3 linked regions of the Oryzias latipes genome follow. Each later gene encodes a partner of the first gene's protein in a complex. Links are inferred from orthologs where the notes say so. Each region holds a gene or a part of one and is shown on either strand. Other genes may lie near its edges.

What was found.
Region 2: MICOS complex subunit MIC26 (region 1) and MICOS complex subunit mic25a-like share a complex: the UniProt entries of both Homo sapiens proteins name them as parts of the mitochondrial contact site and cristae organizing system (MICOS) complex. The link is inferred for Oryzias latipes from reciprocal best matches to the Homo sapiens genes APOO and CHCHD6.
Region 3: MICOS complex subunit MIC26 (region 1) and c4h19orf70 share a complex: the UniProt entries of both Homo sapiens proteins name them as parts of the mitochondrial contact site and cristae organizing system (MICOS) complex. The link is inferred for Oryzias latipes from reciprocal best matches to the Homo sapiens genes APOO and MICOS13.

What each region holds. Positions count from the first base shown.
Region 1 is NC_019875.2:2,473,152-2,476,200, reverse strand, and holds MICOS complex subunit MIC26, read left to right. Parts: upstream 1-1,372; 5' UTR 1,373-1,396; coding exon 1,397-1,990; 3' UTR 1,991-2,480; downstream 2,481-3,049. Other genes in the region: protein PIH1D3, read right to left, coding at 610-676, 749-847; eif3f (eukaryotic translation initiation factor 3 subunit F), read right to left, coding at 2,639-2,719, 2,902-3,015. UniProt on the Homo sapiens protein: Component of the MICOS complex, a large protein complex of the mitochondrial inner membrane that plays crucial roles in the maintenance of crista junctions, inner membrane architecture, and formation of contact sites to the outer membrane.
Region 2 is NC_019865.2:2,285,727-2,289,991, forward strand, and holds the start of MICOS complex subunit mic25a-like, read left to right. Parts: upstream 1-1,406; 5' UTR 1,407-1,519; coding exon 1,520-1,603; intron 1,604-2,900; coding exon 2,901-2,985; intron 2,986-4,265. Other genes in the region: E3 ubiquitin/ISG15 ligase TRIM25, read left to right, coding at 1-566. UniProt on the Homo sapiens protein: Component of the MICOS complex, a large protein complex of the mitochondrial inner membrane that plays crucial roles in the maintenance of crista junctions, inner membrane architecture, and formation of contact sites to the outer membrane.
Region 3 is NC_019862.2:7,384,471-7,388,690, reverse strand, and holds c4h19orf70 (MICOS complex subunit MIC13), read left to right. Parts: upstream 1-1,353; 5' UTR 1,354-1,476; coding exon 1,477-1,505; intron 1,506-1,847; coding exon 1,848-2,004; intron 2,005-2,171; coding exon 2,172-2,232; intron 2,233-3,070; coding exon 3,071-3,168; 3' UTR 3,169-3,684; downstream 3,685-4,220. UniProt on the Homo sapiens protein: Component of the MICOS complex, a large protein complex of the mitochondrial inner membrane that plays crucial roles in the maintenance of crista junctions, inner membrane architecture, and formation of contact sites to the outer membrane.

The sequences.
Region 1 (3,049 bases):
CTGTTATGCTACGTTTAAGAGGGATTTACTGTTTATTAAGGATGCAGTGATACACTTTCAATTCAGTTTAAATTTCAATTTTTGCGTCACGATTTTGCTTGCTTGCATGATTTGTGTATTGCAGACCAACAACAACAACAAAAGAAATTCTGAAAAACCCTTTTTTTAAATTGCTAAATGACAATAAAGAAAAACTTTTCAGATGGTTTTAGCTTAGCCTTGTGTAATGTAATATAACAATAAATACATGCAATACAACAATGAACAATAAATTCTTCATCAATTTAGCACAATACGTTTGACACTTTCAACGTAACCATATTGGTACGCAGTAGAGATGAAACGGTTCACTTGACCAATGATGCAGTTCAGCCGTGTAACACACGGATCGGTTTTGGTTTGTAATTGTGACATCCTTAGTGTTTGTTGCTTTATTGCATTACACTAGGTTCAGTATAAGCCACATAAAGGGTTTCTCTGCATTATCTGCAAATTTAAAAAAAGGGATTTTCCCAATTTTTTGTGTTTTTTGTCGTTGTTTTGTAATGCACAAATATGTATATTTTTAAAACATGAATGAGACCCAGAACTTGAATGTTGCCCTTTTACCTTCTTTAGAATTCTGTGGAGGGAGACCAATTTGTCCAGGGCCCAGCTGTGCAGATGGAGTCACTCTCTGGTGAGGTTAAAAAAAGTATTGACATACTTCCTCATTCTCTCTTTCTGCTTAAGTGTTTTTAAATCTCACTTGATCCTCTTCCTCCTCCTCTTCGTCTTCTTGCTTGGTGGATAACAGGGCAGACAGAGCCCTGAGGGTCTCCTCGGATGATAAACCCACATAATCCATTGGAAAGAAAACGTGTTATTCAAAAGATGGATGTTAAAACTAACACTAGCCTTGTTTAGGTGTAGAATGTAGTCACCAAAAAAAGGCCACAACGACCGTAATATCTGACAGACACTAAAGTTCGCAGCTGCTATGCTAACTGCACGTTTGGAACGTTGACGCTCGTCACCATGGAAACAAATGGGTTTCAGGCTGCCATGGAAACCAACAAAAAAAGAAAAGAAAAAATTTATTTCTTTAGCAAAGATGAACTGACTAAAGAACATTTTTGTAACATTATTTCTTTTTTTAGAACATTTTTAACTTAAGGCAGGAAGAGTCTAGAATATTTTTTATCCAACAATCAGATTTTTTTAATGGAATATAAAGTCGTGTTCATAAAAAAAAACAACTTCAATCACGTTATTTTTATATTCATTTAAATGAACAAATACAATTTTACAATACAAGTTTACTGTCAAAGCAAAACGAACGCAAATATCTGGGAGGCGGCGTCATGATTTGTGTCCCTTCTCGGACACCGTAGCTGATGTATGGCCCTCAGGGATCATGTTCAAGGTGACAGGTAGTGCCATGCCGGGATCCACGCGCTTGCTGCCGCTCGTTTGGGCTGCTGATGCCGCAGATGGTGGGGAGAAAGAGCCCGAGGCCCGGTTAAAGCTGGATGACCTGTCCCTGTACACCGCTCCTCAAAAGCCTCACTATGTGGAGCCAGCGGCGGGGCAGCTTGAGGAGCACGTCGCCACCCTCAGGAAGTTAGTTGAGCCCTACACGGGATGGTGTCAGGCCACCGTCGGTAAACTGAAACCCAAAGTGGAGAGTCTCGTGCAGTCCGGAAATGACTCCTACGTCTACCTGCAGAACCATCCCAAGGATTTCTACGCGCAAGCGGGGATCATCGGCTTCACGGGGCTCCTCGGATTGTTCCTCGCAAGAGGCTCCAGGGTTAAGAAGTTAATCTACCCCGCTGGTCTGATGACCGTGAGCGCCTCCTTGTACTACCCGGAGGAGGCGGTGACCATCGCAAAGTCAACCGGGGATTCGGTGTACGGATACGCGGTTCGGGGCTTCGCTGCGGCGGAGAAGCTCCTCAGCCCGCAGAGCAAAGACGGAAAAGGCAGCAAGGCAGAGACGAAACCATGACGGATGGATGGATGGATGGACGGACGGACGGACGGACGTCCCCGCGCAGCAATAACGGATCACGCGGCAGCAGCTTTTCTAGTACTGTAGATGATGGACCTGGACAGGTTCCACTCTGATGTCTGCACTATTCCTCATGCTTTACTCAGGCCAGACTTTGCCTTTAATAATTGACCTCTGCTACGGATTTGAATGTATATTTAATGATAAAGATCAATATTTTGCTTTGGATAAAAGAACTTGAAACACTTTAACGGAGTCTCACGTGCTGTCTACTGTTACTTGAATAGGACAAAAAGTACTAAATGAAGTTACTGAGGAAATACAAAGTAAATATATTTAAAGTTTTTTCATAATTATTCCTCCACTTTAAGAGTTCTGTGCATTTGACCAAATCCTCTTTATAATCTGAAATAAAGAGTTTAAACACTATTGTCACTTTGAAACCTCAAAGAGTAAATGTAAGCTGAATAAACACGCAATACCACTGTCACAAATACTCAACATGTTTTCTTAATTAGTGGTAAACTTAAATTTGAGATGTTCTTATATGTAAGATCCACCCCACCCCAAAGAAAACATCATGATGCGACTGTTTAACATTTTATTTGCTTCAGCCAAACAATAAGAAAGTTTAAATAGTTCATTTCAGGAGAGCAGCACCAGCTTCTCGTGCAGGGCAATCTGTGCCTGGGTGAGGTTGGACAGGTACGTCACCATCAACAGGTCCTGCAGCAAACCACAAGCACGTCCATGTAGAAAATACACACAACTGAATTTCACAGAAACAATTCCAGTTCCACAGTCGTACAGATGCTAGTATCTTTTAATCTTCACAATGTCAAGAAGTACAAAAGGGTAAAAAAAAACCTCATGCAAATTGTAATTACAGTATCAGGGGAAGCACTTACATTGATGTTAGAATTGAGCATGTTCTCAAAGTCCTCAGGTGGGATGGTCGGCACCTTGTTCACCAGGTCTGTGAGGAACCGGCCAACGCTGTTATCTGCTGCCACTTTCCCAGACTGGAACAGATCCAACAGGTTTTCACCAGAGATC
Region 2 (4,265 bases), on another chromosome or scaffold:
TCGATGCCCTTCACATCCTCCTCAACCCGCAGGAGCTCACCTTTAACGTTTGTACCGCCCACCCCAACTTAAATGTGTCCACTGACCTGTGCACAGTCAGGTTCACCTCCAACAAGCAGCCCTACATGGACCACCCGGAGCGCTTCACCAGTGCGCCGCAGGTTCTATGCAGCCAGGGCTTCTCCAGCGGTCAGCACGTCTGGGTGGTGGAAGTTGGGCCCAACTGCATGTGGGCCATGGGCGTGTGCTACAAGAGCATCCCACGCCGCGGTGACCACAGCCGTCTGGGTCACAACACCGTGTCTTGGAGACTCCAGTGGAAAAATGGCAAACTCACCGTGTGCAGCTCCTCCAGTAATGTTGTGATTCCAGAGAAAAAGCCTCATCCAACCAAACTGGAGATGGCGCTGGACTATGAGGGTGGAACCCTGACGTTCCACAGCATCAAAGGCAGCAGAGAGCACATCTACACCTTCAAAGCTGTGTTCAAAGAACCCGTTTTCCCAGCATTCAGCATTCATTCAAGCAACCCAGACTCCTGGATCACGCTTCATAATGGAATGTAGAATGACTGTTCACTATCAACTTTACAGAACATTTTGGAGATCCACAAGCCAAGGCATTCCTTTAACACGAAAGCTTTGTTCTTTTTTTTGTTTATAAAAGACACAAACTATCATTTATGGTGTATCATATGTTTTAAATTCCTAAATGTTAATTTAAATCTTGTAATGACAAAAGTATTGACTTATTGATGGGGAGGAATTACTGAGAAACAATAATTCTAAATATATTTACACTTATGAGCAAAAAACAACTAATACAATAAAACATGTTTACAGTTTTTTCTTTTTTTTACATTTCTGTTAAAACAATTAAATAGAAAGTACATAGACACTGGCTGATTCACCTTTTTTGGTAAAGAGGTCTTAGTTTTGTCTCCTATTTTCTTTTTTTTCCAAACTATAGTAAAACGTGTGCACCTGCACCAGCTGTCAATGTCATTGTGCAAAGTTAACCCGGTGAACCACCATGGAAAGAAGAATTATAGACATGTTTTGTGTTTGGGGGTTAAATAAACTTTGAACAGAATGTTTGCTGTCTGTTGGCAAACGTTTGACTCATCGTTACCATAAAGATTTATTATTTTTATTTACTTTTAAAGGTACTTTTAATTAAATTGTATAAAATGCAGCATATGGTGTAAGCGTTGCCAAATCTGATGATAACCCCCTAAATTTACTAAAGTATTTTGCAAGTATTGCAACTTTTAAATTTTTAAGAAATGTTTAAAAAAAATTGCTGCTTCACTTAAAATAAATAAATAAAAATCAATCATATGAAAAGGTTACTGCACTTACACGCAAACATCGGGTCATTTGGGGACATTTCCAAGCAAACCTGGCAACCCGCATCCCATCTGTCACACATTCTGTCATTGGACAGGGGCTTAACGGAATTCTTTGATAGTACTATCAGTATTTTCATTAAAGAGGGGGGGCTCATTCTAACAAACGGCATGGGCTTAGGGGAAAGTACGACCAGAAAAGTGTCTTATGGCGTGGATGAGGAGGACAGAGTCCGGATCCTTCGCGGAGTAAAGGTAATTATGCTACTTCTGCTAGCGTGTGATGATAAGGCTAATAGGGTGTGTGGAGCGCTGACTCCCCGCCGAAAGATGTCTCCTCCACATCTAAATGTACTCCAAGCGAAGGCAGAGCTTCGTCCAGAACCCACGAAACAAGTGGCGAAACGGTGAGGACAGACGGGGAGGAAGGGGCTGGCTCAGCAGGGATGAACCAAAGTGACCTTTTCGGTTACGCCGAACCTCGTTCGTAAACAAGCGCTTTTTAGCGTTCCTTCATTATTTTCCAACAAAACAAAAACATTTCATAAACTTTCAACACATCTCATAACTCTTTGGTGTGTTATAGTGAATTCGGCGCAAATATTATCTACATTGATGCGTAAATATTGTTTTAAATGACGCGTTTGGACTTTAGCATGTTGCTTGGGTTTTGGCTAATATCTTAATCGAATTCAGCTAATAATAGCAACAAATAAGGGACGAATAAAACATGAAAAACAAACTACACAGACTGGGCTATACTATTATTTGTTTTGTTAATAAATTACATTTGTAAGCGAGGCTCTGTGTTAATTTAACAGTTTTAATTGAACAGATTTTAAATCAAGTTTGGTTTAATAGCTGGCTTGACAGTGATGCGTTCACGACCAATACTAGGAGTAGGAATTGAGCGATCGGCCACTCAGCAAAGTGTAATAAATGACATTTATGCAGCCAAATAAAATCAACATTAGTTTTTCTACACCATAACTGTCTGTGTGTTTTATTGTTGGGGAAGTTCAGAATTATTTAAAAAGCTTTTAGCTGTACACATCCAGCCGAATGAGGGGTTGCAGTTTAGATCTTTCTTTGTGTTTTGACTGACTTTTTCTATTTCATTTTTAAAAATAAATTTTAAGGTAATTCTTACATTTAATGGCTGCATGGGGGTAAAAACCCATACCAATGTAGTTGGCCCCTTTTTAAAACGTTTTGCTATTATATAAGTCTTTTTTTTGCAGTTTACTGAAAAAAACTTTGTTTAAACAAAGAAAAAAGAAAAAGAAACGCTGGTTACACATGTAAAGTTGTGAGTCACAGAATCAGTGACTCATAGACTTGATCTGCCTCCTGTGGTTTTTCATGTAGCTATTTATTTTTTTTAGCCATTTTTCCTGGGCCATTCACAAGCAGGCGCCCAAATTAAATAGGCCTGCTGTGTTTCCTCAAACATTCATGGTATTCTGAGTTTTTATAGCTATTGCAGAGTTGAGATCTTTATGCTTATAATCTGGATATTGTGACTAAGCGAGCTCTTTTTTTTCTTTACCAGCTGTCAGAAGATGTTCTTCAGAGGATGCGAGGAGTAGCCAACATCAGTCAATCATCACTGTCCTCAGGCCCTCAAGGAGACAAAGGTATAGTTCACTTCACAATTGGTGAATTATTTTGTGTCCCACAAGAAAAGTCTTTGCTGAAAACATCCAAAGTGCCCGTCCTGATAGCTGAGATACATATAAGTTTGTGTCTCAGGTGGAGACGATCACCTGTCTGGGTTTTAACACAAGAATCTGTGTCACAGGAGGTTTTTTTTTTTTCTGTTTTTGGTCGACACAACACAAAAGTCTGGGTCTTGCTTGAGTACAATTCCCAGAAGGCTGAAGGTTCCACAGTTATCAGTTGTTGAAACAGTGTTTGGGTATAAACATCATGGGAGCACAAAGGCATCACACCTCTGAGAAACCCTCCGTCCCGGTAAGGACCACGCTCTGGTGGTCACAACCCTCCAGAGACAGTGGAGGCTGTGGGAAAAAATACAGATTTGGTCATTCTGCATGAACAAGTTGGTAGTGGGGGGTGATAAAGAAATGATCAATCTGGGGAAAAAACATGATTATCAATTGAGGAAATACATAAATTACAGCTAAAAGCCCCCCCCCCCCCCCCCCCCCCCCCCCCAATCAGGCTTTCTTGGCTTTAGACACATAGGGGTCCACAAATTTTGATTGGACTGTTCCCTGTCCCCCCCCCCCCAGGATTGGGTGGGGCTAGGGGTCCCTTGCGCCCCTGACCTTGCAGCTCTTTTTCCACGCGGGGAGGACGTCCACATCTGAGCTGGGTAGGGCAGTATCGCCCGTGGAGCGGGAAGGACCCCTTTTCTTGGGACTCCAGGGCCCCCCCAATTTTTCCATCGTTGCTCACAGCAACCGGAGCCTGGTCCTCGGGCTCACCGGGCCCTGGCCCTGTCTGGGGCCTCTGCTGGTCGCTGGTTTCTGCCGCTTCCCCCGGTTTGTCTTCGGCGGGGCTGCGCAGTGCGGGCTGGCCATGGGTGTTCCAGGCCTGCCTCGGGGGTGGGGGCGGATGGGGGCTCAGGACTCCCGGACGGTGGCGTGCCTCTGATCTGGGTGCCGGTTGTAAGTCCCGCGTGGTCGCGTTTGGGGTGGAGCGGGTCGCTGCCCTGGCGGGGGGCCCCGGCTCTGCGCGCTCTCTGTTTCTCTTACTTCTTGACGGGGGGTTGCTGGGTCTTGCCCTCTGGTTCCGTCTCTGTGGTGGCGGGCCCGCGGTCTGCCCCTAGCTCTGGGGTGTGGGTGGGCTGGAGCATTCAGTGTGATGAAGGTACACTATAAGCAGCACAGTGTGTGAATGTGTGTGTGTGAATGTGTGTGCATGGGTGAATGGGACTGTGACTGTAAAGCGC
Region 3 (4,220 bases), on another chromosome or scaffold:
TTTTGTTCTCCATGTGTACAGCACTTTGGGTCTCCTTGGCTAGTGGTGGAAGGTTCTTTATAAACAAATGATGATGATGATCTAAAAAAACATTTATGTTACCCTGAACTGACTGATAACAACTGGTCCTTATATGTGTGATAACACAGAAGTGTACAAAGATCCAACCGCAGTCATGCGGCGTTTATAATTGCCCCATGAAGAGATAGCGGCTCACAGAACCTCCTATAGTATCAGAACACGTTTCAACCTGTGACCCTGAGCTCTGATTGAGCGCTGCTGGAGTTTGTTACAGTTGTTAAGGATGGTGATATTACCAGAGGATAGCATGAAAACTGACTGATCAGCTTTTCTGCATGAAAGCTGCGCTCGCTGAGGTCAGGCCTCTCAGCCACTGAAGCAGATTCTAACCGTTTACCTGGTTTCCACTCCCACTTTTCCCAGAGGGAATAGTAAACCCTCAGCAACATTATTGTGCATAGGTAAATTAATTCAGTGCAGAAATGTTCACAATTTCATCCTATTTATATATGTTTGAGCTGACTATTTAGAGCAAAGGGGAAAAAACCGGAATAGTCAGCTCAATATGCAAGTAAAGACATGAACCTGTGGCCCCATTCGCCAATAAGCAAAGGTAATGTTATCTTTATGATCCTCGTTATGTTGCCATGGCACACAAATCTGTGAATGGTAGATAACTCCAAATTAATGATAGCAACAGGAAACATTCAATGAGTATTAAAAATTAATTAAAATAAGCATACAAAGAAACCCAACTGCGAAAAATGACTGATCATTTCTGCAAAATGCGGTTTTAGGAACACATGCACGCCCCAGAAGGTCCACTAACATCCACCCTGAGCCTCAAACCCTTAAATAATAAGACTGACTAAAAAATGAAACAGATTTCTGCTCACCTGGATCAAAAGTGGGTGAAGTCCACTTGACAGCTAAAAAAACTACACATAAACTGACTATCAAGACTTTAGTAAAAGCCATTTTGGAAAAAGCAGCAACTGGTCTGACTGCTGGGTTTTGTGGAATTGTGCTGATCTGTGGTTATACAACGGCTGCATTTGGCAACACTGCTCTCAGACAAGTTCAGGGAGGTCCCATGGAAAAAAGTACATCTGTTAAACGCCCCATTTCACTGTTTTTCTTGCGATTTGGGCGTGAACTTCACATTAGACACACCCCTTTGAAAAATCATTTTTCATTTTTAGATATAATTTTTAAACATTTTTATTTAAAAAGTATTTACCTGTGATTTAAAAAGTTAAATAAAATAAAGCATTAGAAAGTGAGGCAGAACGAATGTGTTGCTCTGCAGCGGAACTAAGTTTCCAAGATCCAACTTTATTAACACAGCTGTGGTTGACAGGACAAGAATCCGGCTTGTCCTTCAGTGCAGCTGCTAGGTTTGACTTCTTTCAGGTCACAGTCGTGGCTTCGGGATAGTTCGGTTACCCGTGGATCATGGCGACAAAGCTTTTGCCTGTAGTGAAGTTAGTTCATTTTTACTTTACAAATGTTCGGAGAAGTGATGCTAAATGCGGGATTAGCCGACTAGCTAGCTAATCAAACTAGCTAGCAAAGCTAACAAATGTTCTTTGCCTGTTTAGCTAACTCTAATATAAACTATGTGTTCTGTATCTGTATCCACAAAACTGAATGTTAATTTACTCATTTATAATTTACTCATTTGTACTCAGCGCGTCTTGAGAAGTTTCTAAAGTCCTTTAGTTTCTCTGTCAAACCAACGTTTTAAAATGTTTACTTGTGTTATCATCTCTGTCTCAACGATCTTTGATGACCTGCGTTTCATGATGGACTCTGATTACCTGCAGACTCGCGACCAAGGTGGGCATAGCGGGAGGGGCTGTGTATGTGGCCTATGACTCCGGGCTGCTGGGGGGCAGCGAACAAGGTTCTGAGGCCCTACAGAAGGCCAGAGCCGCTGTCCCCCCCGCCATTGAGGAGTGGATGAAGTACTTCGGTCTTCAGGTACAAACAAACTAGGTTTGAGTGAGAGGTCTTTGGGTTTGTTTGGTCTTTGGTGACTTCTCCTGGGGTTAAAGAGGACCGTTATAGATCTGCACATTAATGCATCCCTTAAGTTTCACTGGTCCCATTAACTAATACACAACCTCCTCTTTTTATTTCTCTGTCAGCAGACTCAGCTTCCAACCATCCCTAACGTTGAATTTTCTCCGGTCCAGGCGTGGAACTCTGGTAAGAGCTGACGGACATTTTTGGGTTTTCCTCTATAAGAGAAACAGTTTGTCATTTCACTGCTGAGTTTGTGCCTCTGTGTTTGCAGGGGGTCTACAGATTTGCTCAAGTGAAATTTAAGGATTTTAAAATTTAAGACCCTATATGCACAAAAATAGAAACAGAGAGTTGGGAGTCTGTGGTTTCTTGCTCTACACGTGATTCCATTGCTATGATCCTTGCTATGTAAAGTTTAAATGTCTTTCAGCAAACCGCAGAGTTTGCTTCATAAAGATTTCCACTTATAAGTTTAACCACTACGACTAATCCCTATTTCCAAGACACACACTGCTGAGCACGAGCTAATAAGCTAGCAGAGGTGAAACGATTTACCACCAGTTAATAACCTTATGACACAGCGCATCCCAGAAATGTTCTTTTTTTTTTGGGTGACAGGTCACATCAGTCGATGAGAAATTTAAAACCTGTTCGTAAGAATTTAGCTGAAGAGACTGATGATGGGAAGTGGGGGAAGGCTTACCAAAAGTCCCGCCCACAACTCAAAGGGGAATTTCAAATGAGCTCCTGCAGAAACTGTCCTGGAAAATGACAGGTTTTTAGACTAAAAATGGCAATAAGAACACTGGGAACGCTTTGAAAAGAGATCAACAGATGATCCGAGTGGGACCTTAAGACAATTTAATGCTTTACAAGACTTTATTGTAGTTCAACAAAACATGAGACTTTTTAAGGATCTGCAGCCACCTGGGTTTGTGTGCACGTCTTCAATCAGCTTTCGCCTTCAGTTTTCCTTAAATTTGTCTTGTGAGACCTGAAAACCGTTTCTTTTTAATTGCAGGAGTGCGGTGGACGATTTCCAGACTTTCTGAAGCTCCAACAAAAGCGAGTGAAATGACGACTCAGGGGTTTCAGTTTGTGAAAGACCTCCTCAAGTGAACCCCCCCGGTATCAGTTTTACTTTTGCACTCAACAGCTCACTTTGGAGAGGTTCAGCCTCGTTCCTCCCCAAGTGGAAGGTTATGGTAACACATTACTACTCCTAAATCAGCCCTAGAAAAGCAGTTGTTTATGAAGAGGCATGTAATGAAGACTGAGCTTATTGTAAGGAAATGAAGTATTTAAAGAACCTCTTCTTTGCTGTAAACCAACTCATTTTACCCACCAAGCAAGGTTTTTTCTCAGTCTAAATGTCCAAAAGTTGTAAATATTCTAGTTGACCTTTTCATGCCTTCTTTAGTGTCTCATGTTCAAGTTCTGGTCATGACAATGTCTATAAAAAAAACACCAATCATATGCACAAAAACTTTATTTGTTCCATAACATTGACACGAAACACAGGAAACCAAAGCGTCAGTTGAGCATCCGAACCTCCAGGGCTCCCCAGCTCTGATGTTTAGTGTCTGTTTTAAATCTCGTTATTTCCACATGTAGAAATAAAGTTTCCTAACTTCAGGCACGGTTTCACTGTTTCATGCAACTTTAACGGAGAAATCCAGAACCGAAGAGCTAAAGAACTGCGGTTTCATCACATTAAGTTTGATGAAATCACTTCTGCAAGCAAATATAAGAGTACAAGACGAGAATTCCTGTGGCGGTTACAATAGTCTGTTAGCTGGAAGTCCACATGTTTACTACAGATGTTGTTATGATCATACAGAGAATGTACACACCAGCAGAACTATCTCCTCTTCATTTAAAGCATTTTGCAGTTTTTTAAAACAAAAAAAGTATATTCTAGGAAACGAGTTCCTCCTTTACTTGAATCTGAATATGTAAACGTTACACAATAAAGTGCTCCTCACAACACAACAGTGAGAGAATACAATGGATAAGGATGCATTTCCCATCAAACCAACGGCTGCACAGCTTTCCTGACGGGGTCAGTGTCGCTGTTGAGGGAGGGGGACTAAAGAGCGGCTGTCAGGGGCAACGAACTGATTCCAACAGGCCAGAAGGCACTTTGATGATGTGGGGGTGTTCACATTCAA